Linked DNA regions of Callithrix jacchus. The protein of the gene in region 1 purifies or fractionates together with the protein of each later gene. This does not show direct contact. Links are inferred from orthologs where the notes say so. Each region holds a gene or a part of one and is shown in the gene's direction. Other genes may lie near its edges.

Region 1 (2,765 bases):
AGGCATTCCAGCTGATTTCAATCCTGGTTCTTTAGCATGTTCTCAGCTTCAGAATTATGATCCTGACAGAGCCCTAACAGATTATATCACTCGGCTAGAGGCACTGCAAAGACGACTTGGAACTGTACAGTCAGGTGCTCTAAGTTTAACAACACCTTGGCAGCACCACAGTGCTAGACCCACAGCTATCCTTTCTTTAAAACTCCTTCACACTCATCATTAGGATAATCAAAGCTTCCACTTTAATGCATGAGCTATCAAGTTAGCCAAAGCTTAAACTCTTGTAACCAGCAGAGAGAAATTGACTTTAAATAATTTAAGTGAAGATATGATTTATTACCCCATATACCACTCCTCCCAGACATGATTTCCTACTATCTTTATTCAGTGGATTGATGACACAAAATGCATGATAAGCACCAATGTGCAAGGTTCTCTGAGTCTACACAGCCTGATTGGAGAACGTGTTCCTAAGTAATGCATGGTGGAAAGTGGTAAGGCCGTACCACAGCACTCCAGCCTGGGTAGGAGAGCGAGACCCTGTCTCAAAGAAGAAAAAAAAAGAAAGCAGTAAGGCATGTGAATCAGGTGGAGTTAAGGAGGAAGCACTTGCTGAAGCACTTAATGTAACCATCATCCATGCTACTACATTGTGCTTTTATGTATCATCCAAAAAACTATTCCATTTAAAACACTTTGTAAAGATTCTTTTATTTTTCTTTGTTCAAAACCGAAGAACACTTTAAAATAAAGGTGGACCCTGTTCCCGGAAGGAAAACCTCTTTTCCCTATCTCACTTCACTTCACTCCTCATTCAGAGACTTTGAATCATTTTAGTTTAAGTGATTGTGCTCTAAGTCAACTTTTATATTTTGCTTTTACTTTTATTAAAGACACTTTTTTCCTACTAGTCTCATAAACTATTGGTTGATAACATATTATTTTAACTTAGTAGTGTATCTCTTCAAGAAATCATTTAACCCAAGCAACTTGTAGTAGTAGGAAACTTTTATTATCATAGCTGAGGTTTCTTTGTTGGTTTGCCTTGGCTTGTTTTGAGCACCCAAATTTCACAAAATGTGGATTTTGAAGACCAAAAGACTTTCAAAAATATATGAGGTATAGAACATTCAACTTTGAGAGCACTTTAAAGAAACTCTAATCATTGGTCTCACCTATTTTGCTATAGAGCCCAGTCATGGTGATTTTTAAATATATATTCAAATTATCTTCAAAATCAGTTTAAGTTTATGGGCTGGGGGCGGCAGGAATGCTGAGGCGGGCAGATCACAAGGTCAGGAGTTGAGACCAGCCAGTTCGAGAACAGCCTGGCCAACACAGTGAAACCCTATCTCTACAAAAAATACAAAACTTAGCCAGGCATGGTGGTATGTGCCTGTAATCCCAGCTACTCAGAAAGGCGAGGCAGGAGAATCCCTTGAACCCAGGAGGCAGAGGTTGCAGTGAGCCGAGATCACACCACTGCATTCCAGCTTGGGCAACAGAGCCAAGACTCCATTTGTGGGTAGGGGGGCAGGTGAAATCCGTTTAAGTATGAAGAAGACATTTTAAGGGAAAAAAAGGCTTTAAAAAAATTGAGAATAATAGTAATCCCCTTTGTGTGAACTCTAGTGGGTCTGACACAAATAGTACTGTAATTTGAAATAATTTGAATTTCCTGTTTTTCTCTCATAGGTTCAACTACTCACTTTCATGTTGGCATTAGAAGATAATCTTTTGAAACATCATTAATTGAAGTGATTTAAAACAGATTTCCTTTTATAAATCAGTGGTTCTTTTGTGCTTTTGTATTGTGAATATTCGATGGGACCAATATCAACACAGCTTATGATTGTATACAAATCCCTTGCCAACACATGAAAACAAACTGGAATTTGTATATATAAGCATTGTGTATGTATTCATGCACAATAATCATTGAATTACCTGTATATTTGTGGAATGCTAATTTAAAACATTAAATTATAAACCTTGTGTATTTATCAAATGGGTGAAGAAAAGATTAAACTTTCACACATTACATTACTGCTGAATGTGTAGCTTGAGGTGTCCTGCACTTTTCTTATAAGGCTACTGAAGTTACATGTTTCTGCCTAATATATTCTACTGGTGATGAAGACAGATAATATCACTTGTAGAGACCTATTTTTGTATAACGATAGAAGTTTTGAATTTTATGGGGTATTTTGTCAAGTACTGAAATAAAAATGACTTCACCATTTTCACCACACTGTATTTGAACCTTCTTCATTTTTAACTGAGCCATAGTTCTTGGTATATAGCATCTCATTATGTCAAATACACAGGAGTGAGAGATTCAGAGAAAGTTGTCCTAATCTTAGAGTTAATACTGTTTAAAGTTTTCCATGTGCTTTTGTGTCAACTTTACATCTACATAGTGTTTTTTAAAAGCTATATTGGTATTTCATGATTAATCATTATTTACTATATTACAGTTAGTGTTACTTGTATCCAAAGATGTGTTCTCATAAATCAATGGCCACTAAAAAGATGAAGAAATCAAACTCGAAAGATCTTAATCACATTGCAGCAGAATTAAACAGTATCCCTGTTGTCCAAGCCAAATTACGATTGGGAGGCTCTCACAGAGATAATACAAATTCCAATGTTATTTCTCATCTGGAGTCCTCCCCGGTAACATGTCAACTCACAAAACAGCAAGAGGACTAGTATTTGGTGCTTATATCTGGAGGATTTTGTCTTATTATTTGATGTTCCATGAT
Region 2 (3,518 bases), on another chromosome or scaffold:
CCTAGTACAGGTCAGCTTTCCTACTGAGTGGTAAGCTCCCTGAGAGCAAGTTAGTGGCACATTCTCTGCTTTTCTTTTAATACGTGATGTGTAGTGATTTTATAGACAGATGGAAGTTCTTTGTAGAGAATATAAAAATATAAGAACAGGATAAAATTAATTTAGGCATAATCTAATTACCAGTCTATACTTCTGTGCTTTACTGTTGAAATCAGACACCTCACCCAAAATGTGGTTGAGATATCAAGACTGATGACATTACATATACACTAAAAGGATATGAAAAGGTTTTTGTTTTTTGTTTTTCCCAAGATGGAGTTTCACTCTTGTTACCCAGGCTGGAGTGCAATGGCGGGATCTCGGCTCACCACAACCTCCGCCTCCTGGGTTCAGGAAATTCTCCTGCCTCAGCTTCCTGAGTAACTGGGATTACAGGCACGCGCCACCATGCCCAACTAATTTTTTTGTATTTTTAGTAGAGACAGGGTTTCACCATGTTGACCAGGATGGTCTCGATCTCTTGACCTCGTGATCCACCCGCCTCGGCCTCCCAAAGTGCTGGGGTTACAGGCGTGAGCCACCACGCCTGGCCATGAAAAGGTTTATTACTTACATGTTGAACCTTTTTAGAGAGAGCAGGGGAGGCTCCCAGACAGATCCAAAAATGACTTCAGATAGCAGGCAAGGTATGATTGGCTTGGGATTTTATGGTGGTTAGAAGGTAGGGTTAGGTGAGGGTACTCTTACACATGGGCTGGCATTTGTGTTGGTTGAACTCCCCATCAGCACCAAAGGAGGGAGTGCCTAGGCTTTCTTATCACTTTCCCAGATATGGGGCAGAAGAGAAAGGATTTGAAAGCTGTCAACAATCAAACATCAAAAATGAAGTCACCTAATGGAGTTATCTTTACATAATTTTATTACATTAAATTATACATTGTGTGATTTAATTTTTTAAGTCTATTTTAAGCATGTTATGGAGTTACAGTATTATTTTGTCTTTATTATCAATATTATTATTATTGTTTTTTGAGACAGAGTCTCACTCTGCCACCCAGGCTAGAGTACAGTGGCTCGAGCTTGGCTCACTGCAACCTCCGCTTCCCAGGTTCAAGTGATTCTCCTGTCTTAGCCTCCCAAGTAGCTGGGATTACAGGCAGGTGCCACCACACCCAGCTAATTTTTATATTTTTAGTAGAAACAGCGTTTCACCATGTTCGCCAGGTTCGTCTTGAACTCTGATCTCAGGTTATCTGCCCACTTTAGCCTCCCAAAGTGCTGGGATTACAGCTGTGAGCCACCGCACCCAGCCATATTCTGTCATTACTTTCAGTGACTCCATAATATGGATGGAAACATGTATTTGATTCATCTCCTATTATTAGCAGATTAAATTACTTGTAGTTTTTGCTATTATAAATATTACCTGATGAAATCTCTGCAATTAAATCTTTTGTAGTGTCTTTGATTATCTCTTTTGGGATGACTAGAAATGGAATTACTGTATCAAAGGATCTTTTTAAGGAATTTCCTATATGTTTAATTATCTTTCAGAAACTTTGAAAAGTTTATGTTTCCTTCAGTGGTATGTTGAGAGTCCCTATTTCTACAAATGCTTGTCAGTTCTGATTTTTTTTTTTAAGCAATTATTGCCAATCAGTAGTTAAATAATTGTATCATTTGCTTTATTTTAATCAGTTGTATCCTAATTTTGTACAGACTATGAAAGCAAACCCATGCACTTGTTTCAATACCTACAGCAAAATATTTGACAAAACTCACCATCTTTTTGTGATGAAAATGCTCAGCAAATTAGCAACAAAAATAACTTTCCCCAACCAGACTAAAGGCATTTTTTAAAAACCTACAGCATGGTGAAAGATTGTTTTTCCTTACAACTCAGAATAAGGCAAGGATGTTTGCTTTCACCACTTTCACTTAATATTGTACTGGAGGTTATATAGTCAATTCAGTAAGGAAGAGAGGATGAGAAGGAAGAAAGAAAATGTGGCTTAGATCCACAATGAAGTACTATTTGACCGTTAAAAAAAAAGGAAGTCATGTCATTTGTAGCAACATGGAGGTTGCTACATTAAGTTAAATAAGCTAGGCACAGGAAGACAAATACCACATGTTCTCAGTCACATGTGACTGCTAAAAACACTGATATGATAGACATAGAGAATAGAGTGATTTATACCAGAAATTGAGAAGGGTGGTGGGTGGATGAAGAGAAGTTGGCTATTGGCTACAAACACAAAGTTAGAAGAAATATGTTTTAATATGTCTTTCTTATCTTTAATTTTCCTTTTTGTGGAGACAAGTCTTCATATGTTGGCCAGGTGTATCTCAAACTCCTGGGCTCAAGCAGTTCTCTCAGTTCAGCTTCCTAAAGTGCTGAGATTACAGAACTTCACAAGTTCTAATGTTTTATAGCATGATAAGGTGACTATACTTGGTGGCAATATTTTGCGTATTTCACAGTAAATATTAATAGAAGAGAGGACATGAAATGATAGTGACACAGAAATGACATATATCCAAGGTGATGGATACCCCAAATACCCTGGCTTAATAATTACCCATTCTGTGCATGGAACAGACACTCACATGTACTCCATAAATATGTAAAATATATGTATTAATTAAAAAAAATTTAGGCTGGGCATAGTGGCTTATGCCTTTAATCCCAGTACTTTGAGAGACTGAGAGAGGAGAATTGCTTGAGCCCAGGAGTTCCAGACCAGTTTGGGCAACATAGTGAGACCATCCCCATCTCTACAAAAATAAAAATAAAGTTAGATGTGGTGGCACACCTCTGTGGTCATAACTACTCAGGATTCTCAGCTGAGAGAATTGCTTGGGGCCAGGAGGTAGAGGCTGCAGTGAGCCATGATTGTGCCACTGCACTGCAGCCTAGGTGTCAGAACAAGACCCTGTCTAAAAAAAAATTTTTTTTTTAAGTTAAAGATGGGGGGAAAAAAGAAAGAAAGGGGCATATAGATTGGAAAGGAAGTATTAAAGTTGTCTTTTTTTCAGGTGACATGATCTCTATGTAGAATATTCCAAGAATGCCACAAAAAAGGCTACTAGAATTAATAAGTGAGTTTAGTGAGGTTATAGGACCCAAAGTCAAAATACAAAAATATGTTCCATTGGAAAGCAAAGTTCCATTGGAAATCTCTTAAAACAACATTTTCTATTATATGTACCTGCCAGTTTTACATTTATTATCACAAGTAACTAATGAAATAATTTTTTATCACTCTTCTAGGGGAACTTATGACATTTTAGTAACAAAAAATAATCAAACCCGCTCTGTTGGTCAATATGACAACCGTGGCAGTTTTGGAGAACTAGCTCTGATGTACAACACCCCGAGAGCTGCTACCATTGTTGCTACCTCAGAAGGCTCCCTTTGGGGACTGGTAAGTGAAAGACATTTTTCACCTTGGAAGGCACAGTATTAATTGCCCTTCTGGGTCTCTGTCCTAGGGCTCTTGATTTACACTATATCT
Region 3 (3,518 bases), on another chromosome or scaffold:
CCAGATGAGTGGGGTTGGGGCCTAGTGAGGTGCAGCTGGTCCAGCCTGACCCTGTCATGAGCTGGTTTTGCCTGTGGCTTTCTGGGTGTGGGTGTGAGAATGCCCTGGAGCAGCCCAGCCTTGGGTTCACTGTCTGAGCTTAATTATTCAGATGCCACTGCCAGAATTGAAGCTCCTCTGTAACTGTTGTGTTCTTTCATTAAAAACTGTTTAGTTATCAGTTTTGAATAGAAAAGGTTGGCGCTTTTGCAGGTGACAGTCTAATGAAGTAGCAGAACTGCTTCTTGGGAGGATACAAAAATGGCAGCCATGTCCGATGGTGGTGCAGGGTCGAGGCGGGGCGGGGGTGTCCTGGTCCGGGCCTCAGCACCTCCAGGTGCTGGGTGGGGTGGGCTCTGTAGGGCGGGTCAGTCCTCTGGCAGGGCTGTGCTGCCTCGGGAGGTGTCAGAGCCACCCTCCTGCTGTGTTGGAGTCCCCTGGCCCTCAGAGCAGGCTGGGCTGTGTGTAGTCCAGTGGACGTGGCTGTGTCCAGTGAGCTTTATTTGCAGGAAAAGGTGGTAGCTGGGTTTGGGTCTGGGGCAGTAGTTTGCAGGCCCCTGCTGCACAGCATTGGCAGTTAGAATCTACTCTTTCGTAGGCTGCTGTCTTGGCTTAAAAGCTGATCTCCCCACCCCCATGCATCTGGATGGTGCAGCACAGACCTGCTGCCGGCCTCACCTCCACACCTATGCAGACTGTTGGGGGCCGCAGGGTCTGGACCCTGAGTGGACTCCTTATCTGACCAAACGCTCTCATCCCCGCCCCACTTTCCTCCCCAGCTGTCACCATTTGGGGCCTGTCTCTGGCCTCCAGTGGTTCCTGTTCCGCTCCTTTCCCTGCACGTGTCAGTGAGGATGTTCACAGAGGAGCAGGCAGCCCAGCTGCTGCCCATTTTGAAGTTTAAGGAAGTTCTGATCCCCCAGGGAAGTGCTGTGGCGAGTGGGGTTTTTTCAATTGTTGGGGGAGCTTAGAGGCCTGGCTCTGACCCCTTTCTGGGATGGCACTGGCATCCCATGGAGAGAAACGTTGTGCAGTATGCGGGCGGCTTCGCAGCCAGTCTTGAGCCCCAGTGCCCTTTGGTAGGTATTTACTCACATGGCTGGGGCAGCCCAGAACCTGGGGTTGCTTTCTGCCAAATCCGGTTCCATCCCGGCCTCACCTCCTTCCTCCTCAGGGTGCCAGCCGGGCTGCCGACGACGCTGAGCGGGAGCGCAGGGACCGAGAGGAGCGGCTGAGACACTCGCGGAACCCGGCCACCCGCGGCCTCCCTTCCACAGCCTCTGGCCGCCTTCGGGGGACGCAGGAAGTGGCTCCCCCCACACCCCTTACCCCTACCTCACACACAGGTGAGTGCCCCCCTCCCAGCACTCTGGGACGGCTTCCTGTGTCTCAGGGTTGGTGGGGGCAATGCACTTGGTGGTGGACACTGTGAATTTCCCACGTCAGGTGATGCTTACTCCTGAGAGTGGATGAGCCGGGCTGCCTGGGCGCCTTTAGAAATGCAGGCACCTGCTGGTGTGTGTGATTCCTCCCGTATCCCATGTTTCTCCTTTGTTCCTCCGGCTGGATTTGAGTGTTGGTGGCCATCAGCTCTGCCGGCTCCTGACTGTCCAGGCAGCCCAGGGTCCTCTCCGGCCACAGCCTCTCACAGGAAGAAAGCCCTGAGTGGCAAGCAGCAGCCAGGGGCAGCCCACTCCATTTCTCTTCCTCTCTCAGCTAACACCTCCCCCCGGCCCGTCTCTGGCATGGAGAGAGAGCGGAAAGTGAGTATGCGGCTGCACCGCGGGGCGCCCGTCAACATCTCCTCTTCCGACCTCACGGGCCGACAAGATACCTCTCGCATGTCCACCTCACAGGTAGGTGCAGAGCTCCTGGGTGGGCACCGGCCTTGACTGTGCCATCCAAGTCCAGAGCAGGCTGTGATTTCTGAAGGGCGTGTTTCCTTCCTTCCTTTTTTCCCCCATTTTTGAGAGTTTTTAATCTCGCTGAGGCGTGGTGGCCTGGTTGCTGATGAGGCTTCTGGGGAGAGCCTGGGAGACAGGCCGGGCCATCACAGGGCTCGTCTTCTGGTCACAGATGGCCAGTCTCAGGTCTCAGGTGCCCGAGGCCAGCAGACCGTGGGGGTTTTCTCCTGCCATTTGAGTGCCCTGCCGCCCCAGCTATCCCCACGCAGGCAGCAGCACTCGCCTGCTCACGCCTCATCCGGGGTGCATTGGTGAGTGCCCTGGCCCAAGAACCTTCCTCATTCTTGCCACTGGCCAGGGTTGGAGGCCTGTAGGGACCTCCACAGGCTCCTCATAAGACCCTCTCTGCTAGTGTGCCCTGCAGCGAGGCTTCCATTCTTTTGACGGCCTTGTCTGTCTTCCTTCAGATAAGAAGCACCCCTGCTTCGCAGCAAAGGCAGGCAGCCCGGGTTGGCCACAGGTGCCGCCTCGTCAGCATCCTCCTCCAGCAGCCTCTCTTCTCCTCTCCTCGCTCTGGCTTGTTGTCTTTTGCGTTTACTAATGTGCTCTTCGAACCAGAACAGCTTTCTACCTATGAATCTGTTGTGTTTCTTCAGAGTGTTCTGGGTTGTTCACCAACAGGGGCAGGGTTGCCCTGTCATGGCTGTGTTTCACTAGCAGGAATCCTCGGGGTACCCAGATTCCCCACAGGTCTTCTGGATGAGCAGGAACTCAGTTCAGAAACGTCCTAGAGTCTGGCTGTGGGCTTGTGGGGCAGTGTCTCTTGGGGTCACAGGATGGAGCCAGGCCCACTGTCGTGAGCAGGGCTTGGTGTAGCTGGCTAGCCAGGAAAGCGCCGGTGTGGGGAGCACTCTTGGCCACTTGCTATCTTTTAATAAGTGAGTTTAGGCCGGGCATGGTGGCTCACGCCTGTAATTCCAACACTTTGGGAGACCGAGGCAGGTGGATCATGAGGTCAGGAGTTCAAGACCAGCCTGACCAAGATGATGAAACCCCATCTTCACTGGAAAAAAAATTTTTTTGAAAAACTAGCTGGGTGTGGTGGCAGGCACCTGTAATCCTTGCTTACTTGGGAGGCTGAGACAGGAGAGTCACTTGAACCCAGGAATCAGAGATTGTAGTGAGCTGAGATCGTGCCACTGCACTTCAGCCTGGCCGACAGAGTAAGATTCTGCCTCAAAAAAAAAAAGTGAGTTTATTGCACGTTTCTAATTCACTAGTAACTTAACTAGAAATGGATTTCTTATATGGTAACATTCTCTCAAAGAAACCAAAGATGCAGAGATTTTGACTTTGTAGTTATTTGCATTGGGCATGAGGGGTCCGGCCTGCATCAAGAGAGTGGTCCCTTACATGCACACAGCCCTGGTCTCACCTCCAGACACAGAAATGGTTTAACAGGTTTCTTCCCACGAGCCTGGCACTCACACCTCAATTACTGGGAGCAGGCCCCAGGAGGGTCTGCCCGTGCCCACCTGTTTTCTTGACACATGGTGGTTCTGTAGCCCCTGAACC
Region 4 (4,055 bases), on another chromosome or scaffold:
ATTAAAAAATAATGTAAAAAGCACTCCTCATCAGTGCTTCTCAATCAGGAGCAGTTCTGCCCCGCAAGAGCACATTCACCAACGTCGGGAGACGGTGGTTGCCACGGCCAGCAGGAATAGGAGGGGCTACTAGCACCCAGTGGGTAGAGGCGGGGATGTTGTTTAACACCTAGTGGTGCACAAGACACCCCCCAGCAGAGAATGATCCAGCCCCACCTCCGCTGTCAGTAGTGTCGCAGTTGGGAAACCCAGACTGTCCTTGGCTAGGTGCGTACTGAAAGAGAATCCCGAAGGAAGGGGCAGGTTCCCTTTGCATTGCCCAGACAGGAAACAGACAGGGAATGTGAGTAGGGAATCTGCCTGGCTGTACCCCAGATTCTTCATCTGTGCAATGGGAGTGATGATGGTAGCACCTACGCGATGGGAGTATGGTGCGAAGGAGCGTTAAGTAGGTGCCAGCTCTTACTACTGGCAGGAGCCCAGGACTGGGGCCCAGCAAAGGGGTGGACACGGAGCGCCCCCTCTCAGCCACCCCTTGCGCCGGGGCCGGCATCCTCCTGCCTGCGGCTGGGAAAACCCAGGAGCCTCCGCGGCCTGGCCCCCAAGCAGGCCTGGCCACCACGACTGCCCAGCGCCAGGCCTTATGAATGACGCCGGCGGCGACCGGGCAACCTCTGACCCGCGCGCCGGCCGCTCTCCTCCCCCACTGGCAGGTGGACAGCGGCTGCGCCGGGCAGGCCGCGGCGCCAACCCCAGCTGGCCGACAGCCGCTGCCGCACTGGGCGGGGGCGGGGGACTGCGGCGTGCGCGGGGCCGGCCGGGAGCCCGCCGGAGCCGCCTCCTGAGCCTCCGAGTGCTGCGCGGCCGCCCGCCAGCCTCCGCCGCTCCGCCCAGCCGGCCGGGGCCCGCAGACTGCGCCTCCGCCCCGCCCTCTCACCCCCGGATTGACACTGAGCGTTCTACTGGGGGTTTGCGGGACAGCGCGCCTCCGCCAATCGGTGGCCTCGCGGGGCGGACCCCGGGCCCTTTCCAGCTTCTTGACCAATCAGACTCGTCTGCCCGCCCAGCTGCGGCCTCGCGAGTGTGTGAATGGCCGAGAGTCCCCGGTATACGTCACGAGGCTGAGAGCCTATAGCGGCGCGGCCTTCCCGAGGGATGACCAATGGACGACGGCGCGGAGCCGTCAGTCAGGGCGTCCTAGGCCAATGAGCGGCGGGCTGCGGGGGCGTCACGGACGGCAGCAGCGGACTTGGGCTGAGGTTCCCGGGCGGGCGGGCGCGGAGAGACGCGGGAAGCAGGGGCTGGGCGGGGGTCGCGGCGCCGCAGCTAGCGCAGCCAGCCCGAGGGCCGCCGCCGCCGCCGCCCAGCGCGCTCCGGGGCCGCCGGCCGCCGCCAGCACCCGCAACGCCGCAGCTCCGGGACCGGCCCCGGCCGCCGCCGCCGCGATGGGCAACGCCGCCGCCGCCAAGAAGGGCAGCGAGCAGGAGAGCGGTGAGTGCCCGGGCCGTGACCCCGATCCCGGCCCTGCGCTGCCAGCCCCGGCCTTGTCCATCACCGCCTGGCCCCTCCCCCCACGAGGCCCCCCCATTCCTCTCTGCCTACCCCCCAGCGCCCCTTGCCCCGGCCTGTCCAAGGCTGGGGCCCACGGGCCCGCAGAGTACCCCCTGTAGGGGTCCCCTTCCTCTAGGGCCGCCCCACACTGCAAAGACCGTGCTCCCCCCCAGCTGTCACTGCCAACCATGGCACGTATGACCGCTGGGGCCCCACACGGGGCCCTGACACCAGCCTACCCCTCCTTTCCTGGCCCCTCTCCCCAGATTCTAATCCCCCCCACTTCCTCACTCACCTCTCCCATGGGATCCTCTGCCTGACCCCGACCCAGGTTTCTGCCAGTTTGGGAATGAGATGGGGTCTCTCTGCCTCCACCGCGCAGGGACCTTGGCCACTTGGTGACCACACCCCTCCCCCCTCCAGCCCCCGCCATCTTTCTCCTGCCCTTCCCCTCTTCACCTTAGCACAGGCCCCCCTTCCAAACCCACCCTGCCCCCTGAGCTTTTCCCAGGCCCACCTCCAGCACTGTTTTTTTCTTCTGTGTCACTTGGCATGGGGGACAGGATCTTTCTGGGTCCCTCTGTCTCTCTCATCCTGTCACTCTGTCACTCTGCTTCTCTGCTTGTGCTCCGTCCTCCAAGGAAGCGTCTGTTCCTGGCTGGGTAGCAGACTGTTTATGAACCTAGAGAACTGCTTAAGTGCTTCCAAAGCCAAGTTTGAGCTGGTCTTGTTGGGATTCATTGCGTCGTCTTTCCTGCGTTGGGGTAGGGGGCGGTGCCAGAGCCCCCTCGCGGTTCCTGCCTTGCAGTGAGCCTTAGGCTCCTTGGAGGGCCTCTCAATAAATGGTTGTTTCCCAACTGAGGCTTCGTCATTCACCCAGTCCCTGGGGCTTCTTCCACCGCTCCTGGCTTGAGATGAAAAGTGTCTGGGTTTAGCGAGGTTCGTTCGCTTTGAATTGGGATGGTCAGAAAGAGCACTGGGGAGGTGGAGGCGGTCAAAGAGAGTAATGGGTGACGTCTAGTGATTTGTTTTGCCAAGGAACAAATAGATTCTGATCATTCCCAGCACTCAGCCAGGGAGAGACCTGTTTTACCCACTTGCCCCCAAATGCTGTTGGCCTTTTCCAGCCAGCCAGAGGAGATTCTGTATCTGGAAATACCCTCAGAAATGGTCTTAAAACCCATTCCCAGTGCTTCCAGCTCTTAAATTGTTCTCACTCCAGTCTGAAAGCTGGAAGGGACTGGGATCCCGTCTGATTACCCAGAAATAGTTCGGAACTGAAAAGGCAGGCCAATTTTGGGTCTCAAACCCCAGCATCTGAGTTCTCGGAATGCCCCCTCCCTGAAAGGGATGAAAGCCAGGGAACTTTATTCCCATATGGATTCAAATAGCAGAACTCAGAGTCACAGAGCAACCATGAAGAGGCCTGACATGTCACCAATGGGAGGGGGCCGGGGAGGGAAGTGCCCATAGCTGAGTGCTTGATGACCGAGGAGCAGGTGGGTGGTGTCCAAAAAAGGTCCGGGCATGAGCTTGGAGGGGACTAGGCAGAGGGGGAGGAGCCAGGCCCCCAGCAGGTGAGGCCAGCTGGGAGGTGGAAGGTAGAGGCGGGCAGCAATGTATTGCGGTGGCTCCACTGGAAGTTGGGGAGATGACAGTCCTGTGAAACCTTCAAGGCTATCAGACACGTGGTCGGGGGTGGAAAGCCGCACAAAGAAAAGGATCCCAGGAAAAAGATCAGAGGCTCTGGAAGGAACCGCTGATTCTCTCAGGGCACAGGTCAGACACCCAGGAATGAATGATCACTGAAATAGAGCTACTATTTATTGGGCGTCTAGGCTGCACCACTGGCCAAATGGCCAGGCGGATAGATACATCTACTCTGGTGACTTTCATAACGGGCTGTTATCCAGATTTTCAAAGGAGCCCTCTGATATAAATGACATCCATGACGGGCCGAGCACAGTGGCTCATGCCTGTAATCCCAGCACTTTGGGAGGCCGAGGCAGGTGAATCATGAGATCAGGAGATCGAGACCATCTTGGTCATGGTGAAACCCCGTCTCTACTAAAATACAAGAAAATAAGCTGGGTGTGGTGGCGCACGCCTGTAGTCCCAGCTACTCGGGAGGCTGAGGCAGGGGAATCGCTTGAACCTGGGAGATGGAGGTTGCAGTGAGCTGAGATCGTGCCACTGCACTCCAGCTTGGCAACAGAGCAAGACTCCGTCTCAAAAAAAAAAAGGAAGAAAGAAATGACATCCATGACATAGGTGATGTCACAGAGGCAGGATTCACATCCAGATCCATCTACCAGCAAACTTCCTGAATCCCAGAATTTCCCAACTCTGACATTCTTCAGCTGCCTCCCAGATTTTTACTTTTATCATATTTTCTTTAATTTAAAATAATAAAAATTTTTCTCACTTCTTTTCAGATGTAAACTTTGAGCTCTTTCTAAACAATAATATCAATGAAATCTTGGGTTTGCTATACCAGTTATATT
Region 5 (3,518 bases), on another chromosome or scaffold:
TGTCGTTCCTCCCCTGCAACGAGTTTGAATAGGATAGGTGTTCAGTTGTGTGCCAGGATGCTTTCAGCTGCAAGCAACAGAATGAGAGTAGCAACTGACGGTAACAACAGGGATTGTGTTTTCTCACCTAACAAGAAACCCAGAGGCAGGTAGTTCCAAGGTAGGTTTATGGCTCAGTGACAGCAGAGTTTGGGTTACTATCTGTGATGACTGCAGTAGTTACAATCATCCCAGTCTCTTAGACGGTGTCCAAAGCATGGGAAAGAAGAAGGTGGGGCCCCTTCCTGTCCTCTTTTCATGCTGGTGGAAAATCTTTCCCAGAAGACCCCGGCAGACTTCCTGTCAGGCCTCATTGGCCAGAAGTGGCACATGACCGTGTCCTCAATGCAGGGTGGCTAGGAAAGCAGGAATCTGGCATTTTGGCTCTGTGGTGTAGTAAGTGGACCCAATGAGTGTGGAGGACATGGAGGGAAGCATCTGCCTGCCACATAGAGAAGGCACCTTGCACACAGTAGGTGCTCTCCTGAGGGTGGCAGTGAACTTGAATGTTATCTGTGGAGTAGAGGTGTCTAAACTAAGAAGATGGCCCTTGCGTTTTGTTGTGTGATTGTCCTTTGCCATGGTGGGTCATCAGATGTTTCTGAATAGACAGTTACTTGAATGGACTTTGTTTGGGATAATAACCTGTAAGCACTGGCAGAATAACGGGGAGACAGGGTTAGAGAGCAAAGTGATAAGGCCTGAACTTTAGGATGAAAAAAGGGTAGGTCAGTGTTGGAAGCATTTTGGAGGAAGCAGCAGCAGTTGTGATTCCCTGATTGGGCAGTGGAAGAGAGAAGGGTTTAGGATGGCTCCCAGCTTTCTAGCTTGGGTTAGGGATTGTGGCGATACCATCTCATTAGGCAGGAAACAGGTGAGAGAGAGCAGGTTTGGAAGGATGAGGAGTTCAGCTTTGGCTCTGTGGACTGAGTGACAGAGTTGCCTCAGTGGTGAGGTGTGGCAGGCAGCTGGATATGTAAATTTTGACCTTGGGAGAGACATCTGTGAAGGTGAAGACTCTCACTTGCTCACCCCACTCCTGGTCCAAGTCTTCTGCTTTGTTCTCCCTTAGGTAAGATGTGGGGGAGCCCCTCTTGCCCCCTTTTTCAGGCTTACTCTCATTTCTCTTTGGCCTCTGGTAGTTTCTTACATAGTTAACAGAAGCGATTGTCATTGTATGTTGTGTTAACTCATTGTTTAAAACTGTTTTCTAGAAAGTTCCATCTCTGCTGATCTAAAGACTGTTTATAAATCAGTCTTCATGTGTGTTTTTTTAGGTTCTACAAACATTTTTGCTTCTGGTTCCGAGCTTCATAGTTCTCTAACATCAGAAATTCATTTCTTGAGGAAGCAGAACGAGGCCCTCAATGCAATGCTCATTAAAGGATCCAGAGGTAAGAATTAAAGGAGTCACTGGAAGCCTGGAATGCCAAAGCCTTCTGTGACATGGAAAGAATGCAGGCATTGGAGTCTGACCAACCTAAGTATGAATTCTGTGGCTCTGCGATGGCTTTACACCATTTAATTGTCACAGTAGCCCTGTGAGGTGTTCCTGTTTTGTAGCTGAGAACACTGGAATCAGAGAGGTGCTGGAATACCTCATAGGGCTGTTGTGACAATTGAATGATGTAGTGTCTCTAATAGGGACTCAGTAAGTGTGTTACTTCATTTGCTTGTCACTCATCCCCTCTATAGCCACGTGTCTTTCCTCCTAGTTCACAGTGGGGGAAAGAAGGGCTGGAAACACAATACTGCCAAAATCTCCACAAGAGAATTCCTGCTATCAGCAAGATTTATCCTATACTTTTTATAAAGATCCATTATCTTACTTCCTTCTATTTGGAGCTTGGCTCCTAAAAAGCTTTCACTTACATTATCTTTCACTATTGAAAACAATTCTGGGATAATGTATCATTAGCCCTATTTGACAGGTAAGAAACAGGCTTAGAGAATTGCCCGGCCTGTGGTCACAGAGCTAGAAGGTGGTACAGCTAGAACTTGAGCCAGCTTATTCCACTTTTCCTAAAAGGATATTGATGTTCCTTTTGGCTTAAGAGATGAAATTGGGGCTTCAGTCAGTCAGTCATTCACTCAGCAGACATTTCCTATCTCCTGTTCTACTTCAGGGCCATGTAGACTCTGATACAGAAATGAAAGAGATTTCATCCCTTCCTTCAGTGAGCTCATAATCGGATGGAAGAGACAGCCAGACAATCATGGCAGGCCAGTGTGAACCGCTGCCATGATAAAGTCAGACTATGGGAACTGCAGGACCCTAGAGAAGGCATCCTGACTCAGGAAAAGCTTGCCTTGAGAACGGAGTCGAGGAGGGCTTAGTGAAGGTGCCAAAGATTGAGAGGAGCCAGGGCCCTTTAAATAGAAGGAAGAGAGCAGACAAAGGCCCGGTGGTTAGCAATGAAGAGAGACCAGGCCTTTCGGGAAGTGAAGGAAGCATGACGTGTCTGGAGCTTGAGGGGAGAGGTGAATGCTTGCTTAGAAATTATCTTGTCATGGTTAAGAATGGAGTCAGAAAACCTGAGTCCGAATTCTGGCTCTGCCACCTACTGGCCGTGTGACCTTAAGGAAGTTTCTTATCTGGAAAGCAGAAAATAATAGTGCCTGCCTTGGAAGTCAGCCCTGAAGATTAACCAGGGCACTGCATGTCAAGGCCCCAATGTCATACCTGCACAGGTAGTGCTGGTGCAGCTCAGCTGTTACCACCACCAGCACTGCTGGCAACTGAGCCTGATGGAGCTTCCAGCCCCCAGAGTGCTCCTGAAGACCTGTGGTAAACCTTTTATAGATGGCAACCAGTTAATCCACACAATAACACCTGTGAGGAAACACATTTTATAGCTGGTAGCTCAGTTAATCCCCGTAATAACACATATGGAGAAGTGAAGAGCCTCCTCACTCAAGGTTATGAAGTCAGGAAATGGAGAAGCCGCTCTTGAATATGGCCTCTCTGCCTCAAGCACTGTGCTCTTGACCACGGTGTCTCTTGTACCTCTGGGTGTATTTCATTCCTCAGGAGAGGTGCTGTCCTCAGCCTCAGGAGTGAATGGGCCTCAAGGTACCATCTGTACAGCCCTGCTGGCCTCCTGGGGCTAGGTTGGTAGAAGGCCTGTGGCCAGTCCAACACCCATTCCCAGAGTTCTGGGCCCTGTGTTTTCCTCTGTCTGTACTTTCTACCTGCTGCTCTGTGAAGGCAAAATAACTAGGTTTACATGGCCTGTTGTTTAATAGAAAATTAAACAGACCCATTTTATCCCAGTGACGTTTAATCTGCAGCCTTGATGTTGACAAATTTATCTGCCCAAAGTGTGTAAGACAATTGGAATGCCAAAATCATAAATGCCACATCGAATCTCATTCTTTTTTGTATTCTTGAAGTGCTGTATTTATATAATAAGGTTGGAAAAAACAAATGGTGGCCCTTCTCAGTGGCGCCTTTTTGTGTTTGCAGATAAACAGAAGGA

Evidence for each region.
Region 2: the proteins of AKAP9 (region 1) and PRKAR2A purify together in Homo sapiens (affinity purification with western blotting; 3 studies listed by BioGRID, with this or other methods). This does not show direct contact. The link is inferred for Callithrix jacchus from reciprocal best matches to the Homo sapiens genes AKAP9 and PRKAR2A.
Region 3: the proteins of AKAP9 (region 1) and CSNK1D purify together in Homo sapiens (affinity purification with mass spectrometry; 4 studies listed by BioGRID and IntAct, counting the BioPlex papers as one, with this or other methods). This does not show direct contact. The link is inferred for Callithrix jacchus from reciprocal best matches to the Homo sapiens genes AKAP9 and CSNK1D.
Region 4: the proteins of AKAP9 (region 1) and PRKACA purify together in Homo sapiens (affinity purification with mass spectrometry; 7 studies listed by BioGRID and IntAct, with this or other methods). This does not show direct contact. The link is inferred for Callithrix jacchus from reciprocal best matches to the Homo sapiens genes AKAP9 and PRKACA.
Region 5: the proteins of AKAP9 (region 1) and CDK5RAP2 purify together in Homo sapiens (affinity purification with western blotting; 4 studies listed by BioGRID and IntAct, with this or other methods). This does not show direct contact. The link is inferred for Callithrix jacchus from reciprocal best matches to the Homo sapiens genes AKAP9 and CDK5RAP2.

Annotation. Positions count from the first base shown.
Region 1 is NC_133512.1:57,509,227-57,511,991, reverse strand, and holds the end of AKAP9 (A-kinase anchor protein 9), read left to right. Parts: coding exon 1-134; intron 135-1,695; coding exon 1,696-1,733; 3' UTR 1,734-2,249; downstream 2,250-2,765. UniProt on the Homo sapiens protein: Scaffolding protein that assembles several protein kinases and phosphatases on the centrosome and Golgi apparatus. Required to maintain the integrity of the Golgi apparatus. Required for microtubule nucleation at the cis-side of the Golgi apparatus.
Region 2 is NC_133516.1:31,404,872-31,408,389, reverse strand, and holds part of PRKAR2A (cAMP-dependent protein kinase type II-alpha regulatory subunit), read left to right. Parts: intron 1-3,274; coding exon 3,275-3,428; intron 3,429-3,518. UniProt on the Homo sapiens protein: Regulatory subunit of the cAMP-dependent protein kinases involved in cAMP signaling in cells. Type II regulatory chains mediate membrane association by binding to anchoring proteins, including the MAP2 kinase.
Region 3 is NC_133506.1:137,884,430-137,887,947, reverse strand, and holds part of CSNK1D (casein kinase I), read left to right. Parts: intron 1-1,213; coding exon 1,214-1,385; intron 1,386-1,755; coding exon 1,756-1,895; intron 1,896-3,518. UniProt on the Homo sapiens protein: Essential serine/threonine-protein kinase that regulates diverse cellular growth and survival processes including Wnt signaling, DNA repair and circadian rhythms. It can phosphorylate a large number of proteins.
Region 4 is NC_133523.1:12,894,404-12,898,458, reverse strand, and holds the start of PRKACA (cAMP-dependent protein kinase catalytic subunit alpha), read left to right. Parts: upstream 1-1,245; 5' UTR 1,246-1,445; coding exon 1,446-1,491; intron 1,492-4,055.
Region 5 is NC_133502.1:168,803,394-168,806,911, reverse strand, and holds part of CDK5RAP2 (CDK5 regulatory subunit-associated protein 2), read left to right. Parts: intron 1-1,316; coding exon 1,317-1,433; intron 1,434-3,505; coding exon 3,506-3,518. UniProt on the Homo sapiens protein: Potential regulator of CDK5 activity via its interaction with CDK5R1. Negative regulator of centriole disengagement (licensing) which maintains centriole engagement and cohesion. Involved in regulation of mitotic spindle orientation.